2 linked regions of the Elephas maximus indicus genome follow. The protein of the gene in region 1 interacts with the protein of each later gene in a biochemical or structural test. Links are inferred from orthologs where the notes say so. Each region holds a gene or a part of one and is shown in the gene's direction. Other genes may lie near its edges. The genes, in order: DNMT1 and SETD7.

Region 1 (3,908 bases):
ACAATTGTGAGGATGGCGCAGGACCGGGCAGTGCTTCGTTCTATCATACGTAGATTCACTATGAGTCGGAGCTGACGCGACGGCACCTAACAAGGGCCTAGTACAATGAAGTACGTAAACCTGTTGCCCTCAAGTGAATTCTGACTCATAGCAATGCTAGAGGAAAGAGTGGAACTGCCCCCATGCGGTTTCCAAGGAGTGGCTGGTGGATTTGAACTGCCGACCTTTTAGTCAGCAGTCGAGCTCTTAACTACTGTGCCACATAAGTGCTGACTAAATACTAAATGAATAGCCATTAATTGCAGCCTTACTAATATTTTCAGTCCTCCTGAGTCTTGGTGGCATAGTGGTTAAGAGCTACTGCTGCTAACCAAAATGTTGGCGGTTCTGATCCACCAGGCGCTCCTTGGAAACTCTACGGGACAATTCTACTCTGTACTATAGGGTCGCTGAGTCGGAATCAACAGCAACGCGTTTTGGTTTTTTTGAGCCTGCTATGCGTGAGTGACCCATAGCAACCAGAGGGCCTGAGATCTACTTCTATCCAGGGGGACCGCTCGCACCCCCAGCTGTTCGGGTGTGTGTGTATATAAATGCATTCGCTTTTTAACTACAAAAATGTAAAAACATACCGCAATTTTTAACTCCGTCCTAGTGCTATTTAAATACACAGGCTGTGGAAGTGTCCTGGGCCTCCCTGCCCCGCCGCAGTCTTTGGTGCTAGCTACACATCCTGTGTATCCTCAAGATTTTCTGGAGTAGGTGCTATTAATCCCGTTTTACAGATGAGAAAACTGAGGCTGAGTCCAAGTGGCTCACCCAAGGTCGTACGGTAAGCAAATAGGCGGAAGTGGGGTCGGAACTGAGGACTTTAACTTAAGAGCCTACACGTTCGTAACCTTCTGCAGGTGGTGGCTCCTTTATCCTTAACCTGCCGAAAAGAATGAATGAATGAATGTCTCCGGCTGGGCGCCCCCTCCTCTGGAAACGGCGGAGGTTGGGCGAGCTCACTGTTCCACGCGGGGGTGCGCACCGTACTCGCGCATGCGCGGCCCTGAGCACGGCCCGCTCCACTCTGTCTGCACGCACTTGTTACGGCGTCTCTCCGCTTGGTACGTCCCGCCTTCCCCCGCGTCCGGGTCTGGGTGGTATGCGCCGCCTCCGTTCACCGCCCCTCCCCGTCAGTTTCCGCGCGAAAAGCCGGGGCCGCCCGCGCCGCTGCCGCCGCTTCAACTGCATTCTCCGAGATGCCTGCCCGCACCGCCCCGGCCCGGGTGCCCACGCTGGCATCCCCGGCCATCTCACTGCCCGACGATGTCCGCAGGCGGTAAGTGACGCGGGAGACCGCGCACCTGGGGGGAGGCACAGCACTAGGGGGGGTTGCTTCCCCTCGGGGCGGCCCGGGTCCGCCGCTGACAGGCGGGCGCGCATGCGCGGGGTGGCGCGGCAGCGGTTGGCGCGGGCAGGGTGGCACTTCCGGTCGCGCGCGCCCCTGGCCATTTGGCGCCAAAATGGGCTGAGGCCCCTTACAATTCCCTGGTGACTAGAAACTCGGCTTCTTTTCAGACGCCCAAGTAGAGCAAGCTTTGGGTTCACCTCGAGGGTCCCCTTCCCTAAGCTGCCGTGGGCCAGGCTCCTGCTGCCAGCCTGGTCGGGCAGGAAGTGGGTAGCCCGCAGCCTCTGGACACCCCTGGGCCCCGCACTCCGGCCTCTATTTCCGGTGCCCGGCCAGCTCGGGGGTCTGGCCCGCCGGCCCCCTTGGGGCACTTCACGTTCCCCTCGGCCCCTACAACCGCCGTACGCTGCGGATCCCGATGGCGGCCTCCAGACACGGACGTCGCCGGTCAGGGGCCGGGCGCAGTCGGCTCGGGTTTTCGAGCCTCGTTTTCCTTGCGGGGCTCTCGCCCCATCTCAGATTGCCGGTTCTCGCCCGTCTGGGGAGGTCGTATTCTGGAAGAACTCTTACCCTGCTGCTTAGGGCCAGGACTGGGGCAGCGTGAAGGCTGAATGCGTTCTGGTCTTTCCTAGGAAATCTGCCGCTGTGAATCTGTGCCTTGAGGCATGGGCACCGAGGAAGCCTTGCTAGTGAGAACTGGCTGCGGTTTCCAGCGTGGGGAAGTGAGGGGGCCGGCTAATGTCTGGGCCCCCGCTGGAGCACTTAACGCCTAAGTAGGGACCTCTGCAGGCAGGGCTTGGCGGGAAGACTGTTTGACCCAGGCCTTTGGTCCTGATGGGCGTTAAATTCACTCTTTGAAAACTTGTTTCAAGTGAGGTGTGTGTGTAGACAGCAGGAACCCTGACCAGGTCTGAACACTTCCAGCCAGATTTGTGAACCTGGTTTTGCCATTTCCCTGCCCTTGTTTTCTCTGTCTAACCAACCTCTATGGTTGTGCCAGGTCAGTTTTGATTTGGGCTCTTGGGGGTGGGGTGGGGTACTCGGGTTTCTGTACCAGGAGTTTATGGTTCAAACCACTTCTTAACAGGGGATGTGTCTTGTGGGAGGAAACCATAGGTCTCCCTCTCCCCCAAGATACCTTAGTATTTAAAATGGAAGTGGAATTACGAAAGTACCAGGCTTCATGACATTAGGCCCCAACAAGAGAAGTTTGGGCCCAGCCTTATTTACCTTGATGGTGAGAACTCCTCCTCCACTGACTTGTTTATGGCCTTAGGCAAGTGTGTACTGCCTGTCTGCATCTGTGGACTAGGATTAATAACACGGGTTATAAACTAGCAGTGGGTTAAATGAGAATATGTCTGCCGTGTAAAGGCTCAAATGTTAGCATTGTTATCAGCTAATTTAGCTTGGTTTTCTCACTCCTGCTAATCAGCTACTAATTATATAATGTGCTTTACATTATCTCAGTTAATCCTCGAGTCTTTAAGAGTAGCTGCTGGGTAGTTCACTGCTAGGAAGCAGGGATTCCTGCCTAGGCCTGCTTTTTGCCAAAGCCCTTCTCTTTGACTAGGGGCTGGTTGTGAATGGGCTTAGGTGCTCTATTTGGCCCACACAAAGTGTTTTGTATGGCTGAATTCAAATACCTTTAGGTGAGCCCTGGTGGTGCAGTGGTTAAGTGCTCAGCTGTTAATCAAAAGGCCTGTGGTTCGATCTCGCCAGCCGCTCCATAGGAGAAAGATGCGGGAGTCTGCTTCCACAAAGATTACAGCCTTGGTAACCCTATGGGGCAGTTCTACTCTGTTTTTTAGGCTTGCATAGAGTTAGAATCGACTCTATGGCACCAGGTTTGGTTTTTTGGTTTAGATGAATCTTACAATCCACCATTCACCCCGGGTTCCATATTACTTTGAGCTAGAATTGCCCACCGAGGTATGAAGTTTCGAACGCCTGCTTTAGGCCGTGTGGTGGTAATTGAAATGTCAGTTTATGCGACCCTCTCAACAACTTTTTTTTTTTAATTTACATTTGGAAATACTTTACGGTACAAAAAAATACACGCATAAACATGACATTGAAACTTAGATTTGTAAATAGCAGTATAACTTCTTGATTTAGTGAAGTTAGTAGAGAAGCATAATCTATAAGAGGTACATAAGTTGAGTAGAATATTCCAGGAGCTAAATTAGGCCTGGTCCTCATTAGGCTGCTCTTGCAGTTTCTGTCCCTTCTGCGAACTTGTGTTTATATGGCAGCTTCCTTTTTAAACTCAGATATGACTCCATTAGATGTACGATGATACTAGAAAGAATTTTCACGTTTGGATTTTTAAGTCTTTGAGTTCTTTTTGGAGTATAATATACTCCTTGCCTTTCAGGGCGAGCCATATCTTTCCACTGAGTTTTTCTTATTCTGTCTAGGCCATCATTATTTGCACAGAAATTGCGATCTTCTCCTGTTGGTCTTCCTGCCGCCACTCTGACCCTGAGGCAGGTCTGTTTCCTAGAGTGTG
Region 2 (3,908 bases), on another chromosome or scaffold:
AAGTTGTTGGCACTTGAAGAAACAGCGGCGGGGTGGGGGGCGGGGGGGAGAACACACACACACGCGCTCCAGACGGAGGAGGGTCTTTCCTCCGTAGCTCCTTTAACCATTACCACATTGCAACTAGGAACTTCCAGGGCCTTCGGCGCGCCTTGTTTCCTGCCTGATAAGGAGCCCGCTGTCATTTGGGTTTGGTTAATCTCTGAATCACCCGACGCGCTCGGCGGTCCAGAGGAGGGTGTGAACGAAGCGCGCTGGGGTGGGACCCACAGTCCGGCGGAATCGGAGTCACATGACACCCCGTCGAGTCCGGGAAACCGGCTTGCGGAGGTTATGCGGGGCTGCGGCGACATCCTCGCTCCCGTGCGTGCTGCACTCGTGCGGCTCCGGGTGGCAAACTGGGTGAAGTGGGGACTAGAGGAAGTAGAGGAGCAAGAGCGTCAGAAACGCTTCTTCTGCTCTTCGGACGCTGACCCGACGAGGGACGACTGGCACTGCACGACGGACTTCCAAGTTGCCCTTAGCACACCTGGAGGTCAAGAGTGCAAAGCCCCCACAGGCGGCTTCCGTGGTCTGAAGTGTCCGCAAGAAGCCCGAGACGCCCAGGACCGCATGGCGCGCTCAGAGCTCGCCAAGTCGCGCATAAGCAAAAGATAAACGCTGATGGGCCCGGGGGCTTGTTGGCTGGGACGCAGAGTTTGCGCGGACCCGGAGCGTCTTTCGTTTTAAGGAATCTTACTTCTGGGAAGGGACAGGGAACTGTCAATCAGCGAGGGAGGGAGCGCACCGGCGCCGGGTGATGTCAGCGGATCAGCTGCTCGATAACAAAGAGGGGGTATTACAGGAGAAAGTTGCAGCAGCGGCGGCGACCGCAGCGTCACCCGGGAGCCTCGGAGGCGAGGGGCAAGTGGGCGAAGGAAGGACGGCTGCTGCCGCAGCAGTTGAAGGCCAAGGAATTAGAAGGGCTGTAGGGGGAGGCAGTGCGAGCCAGCCCCGACTGCTCCTCCTCTTCCTCCTCCTCCTCCAAACTCGCAGGGCTGAGCCCCAGCGCTCGCTCAGCCGCCGGGAGCACCAGGAGGGACGGGAGGCAGCAGCGCGGCCCACAGCCGGGCAGGGTCCCCAGCCGCCATGGATAGCGACGATGAGATGGTGGAGGAGGCGGTGGAAGGTACAAGCATTTCTTCGGGGCCAGGAAAGGAGGCGCGGAGGGCTCGGAGCGCGGGAGGAGTGGCCGGCAGCGGCCGGCGCGGCACCGGGCCCCGCGGCCGCCACAGTCCGCTACGCGGGTGGCCGGCTGCCCGGCTCCGGTGGGGGCCGGGTAGCCACGGCTACGCCACTGGGGGCACGCAATGCGCGGCAAGGCGCAGGCCGGGAACCGGGCTCCGCCGGGCCGGAGCCCCTGGGGGGATACGGCTGATCCATCCCGCCCAGCCGCAGCCTGCATCCGCCCTCGGAGTTGCGAATCCTGCCCGGCACCCCGGCCTCCCTCTTTTCGGGGATGGAGGAGCGGTGCGCAAGAAGGCAGACCCTAGGAGCGGTCTCCGTGAGTAATCCCCCTACCCCATTTTGGCCACCCCGAGCTCCTCTCCGTCGCCAGCCCTTTCCTTCCGCTCGGTGCTGCGCCCCGCGGCGCCCGAGGCCGGGCCTGGGTCAGTCCCCTGGCGCAGCGCACGGGGCCGGACCTGGCACGTGGCAGCCGTGGCCCGACGAGAAGATGAAATCATTGCGGGCCAGGGACCACAGTCCCGACTCGGGGCTTGAACGCGTACAGTCCGGCAGGCGGGTGACCCTTCCCTCTCCTGCCCTCGAGCGAACTCAGCCACACCGCCCCCTCCCCCTGCCTGCTTCCCAGTCCCGGTGCCGCCGCCGCCGCCGCCGCCACGCTGTGCAGGCGCGCCGCAAGCCGGGACTGAAATTGCTGGGTGATACTTAACTTTCTGAATTCCACGCAGTTGGCTGTGGGTGATATCACCGCTTTGGTGTCGTGTTTCTCCGCCCCTTCTCTTCTAGCGCCCCTCCCCCGACTTTTGTTGCCACTTTGTTTTGCTGAGTTTCTCCACCTCTCGCTAGTTCTAAAAAAACGAGGTGGGGACGTTATACAATCTCCTTGTTTGTACCCTGAAGTGTTATGATTTTGTACAGTGAATATTGGAAAATACTCTTTAGCGTATTTATTTATTTGGTTTTACCCCCAGACGGTACGTCGTGATGTTTTGCAATGTTGTGTGGTATTATTCCAGAACATTTTAAACCAGGCATCTAAGTAAATAAATTTTTAGGCGTTGGTTGAATCTTGTTTCTATCTAATTGGTGTAAACAAGTTTTTCACAAACAGTAAAGAAAAAGTGGTGACATCGTACCAATGTATTAGGGCACATAGTTGTTTCTTCTTTGAGGCACGAAATACATTTTTATATTTTTATAAAACAGAATTGATTCCTTTTGAAGTACACCAGAGGTTTTAAGATGACATAAAGTAGAATAGTATTTCTGAATTCTCTAAAAGGTATCCATTTTAATGTAACTTGTAAAATTTCTTATTTCTTCATCCAGCATCAAAGCCAGCATGTAATTTTTTTTTTAAGTTAAGAAAATTTGCATAATGATTTGAACTCACAGAGCTATGTATCAATCTAATAAGTAAAGCTCATGTGGGGGCATACTGGGGTCCAAAGACATTCAGTTGATCCATAGGAAGCCTTCTTAGAATTTAAAAGTTACTGACTTCTTGTGCTTCCTTGTTACAAAAAAAAAAAAAAAAGAAGAAGGATGAAAATGCTGTTCTCAGATTGATGGGTTTTGCTCTCATTATTCAAAGGTTAGGTTTACTTGTAAAAATTTAAAGTAAACCCTTGGTAACAGCAGTGCTCTCCAGACTGAAGCACCTTCCCCTTTGAAGACCTGTGTCCCCTGGTCCTTAGGCTCATTTGCAGAATGTAAACAAGTGGCTTTAGAAATGTATGGGTGTTGTTTTTGAGATTGTCTGGTGGATTAGAATCAGGGCAAGTTCTTACTAGTTTTCTAGGGTGACCATATGCATTATTGTCCAAATCAGAACACTTCTGAGATGAGAGGGGGAACTATTAATAAACCTTGAATGTCTGGGCCAATCCAGGACACATGGTGACTCAATTGTACCTAACTGTAAACAGAGGAACTCAGAACCTTTCCAAGTCCTTAGGCGAGTCTCAGGCTCAAACTGGAGCAGTGTCTAGGCACGGACAGTAAACTGCACCCCCGGGCTTTTCTCCATTCATTCTTAGTGCTGTCTATAATGCCCTTGACTTCATCACCCAACACATGCATGAGACAATGTGGTAAACTTTCCCAAAGAGAAGCTAGTCTGAATATTTTGGTTTTTTAAGTTCTATCTCCTCTACCTTACCCTCCGTAAACAGAGCCTCTGTTCTCAATAGTTTCATTGTCATAGCTATTGTTATAATTTACTTGTAAATTATAACTGTTTTCATGATGTGCAGGCTCGGTGCTAAGTGTTTCATATCTATTTTCCATTCAGTCTTATGAGGTGGGTGCTCATATGATCCTGATTTTACAGAGGAGGGAACTGAGGCAAGAGAAGTTAACTAATCCAAGGTCACGTAGCTAGGTGGGGAGACAGATACGGAGCCTTCAGAACCCCACTCTACTACCATCTCATACTGTCTCCCCACATTTTTTCTTTCTAATGGGCCTGTCAAGTATATAAAATAGTTGTTTACAAACTGAATTTGGAAGCGACAGTTAAATGTTATGCAGTTATTATTCTTTATCAGTATAACTCATTAAAGGTTGAATCTGGTAGAATTCAGGGAGAAAGGTGTGTATAGACCCTAGCTTTACTGTAGAAAACTAATTCTCTCTGGTTGTTATTTACTCGCAATCTGCTAATTTTTTCAACTGTTTTCTCA

Evidence for each region.
Region 2: of the proteins of DNMT1 (region 1) and SETD7, one has a biochemical effect on the other in vitro, tested with the Homo sapiens proteins (2 studies listed by BioGRID and IntAct, with this or other methods). The link is inferred for Elephas maximus indicus from reciprocal best matches to the Homo sapiens genes DNMT1 and SETD7.

Annotation. Positions count from the first base shown.
Region 1 is NC_064821.1:28,326,317-28,330,224, reverse strand, and holds the start of DNMT1 (DNA (cytosine-5)-methyltransferase 1), read left to right. Parts: upstream 1-1,093; 5' UTR 1,094-1,247; coding exon 1,248-1,327; intron 1,328-1,355; exon of another isoform or gene 1,356-1,814; coding exon of another isoform or gene 1,815-1,843; intron 1,844-3,908. UniProt on the Homo sapiens protein: Methylates CpG residues. Preferentially methylates hemimethylated DNA. Associates with DNA replication sites in S phase maintaining the methylation pattern in the newly synthesized strand, that is essential for epigenetic inheritance.
Region 2 is NC_064823.1:3,707,882-3,711,789, forward strand, and holds the start of SETD7 (histone-lysine N-methyltransferase SETD7), read left to right. Parts: upstream 1-863; 5' UTR 864-1,128; coding exon 1,129-1,543; intron 1,544-3,908. UniProt on the Homo sapiens protein: Histone methyltransferase that specifically monomethylates 'Lys-4' of histone H3. H3 'Lys-4' methylation represents a specific tag for epigenetic transcriptional activation.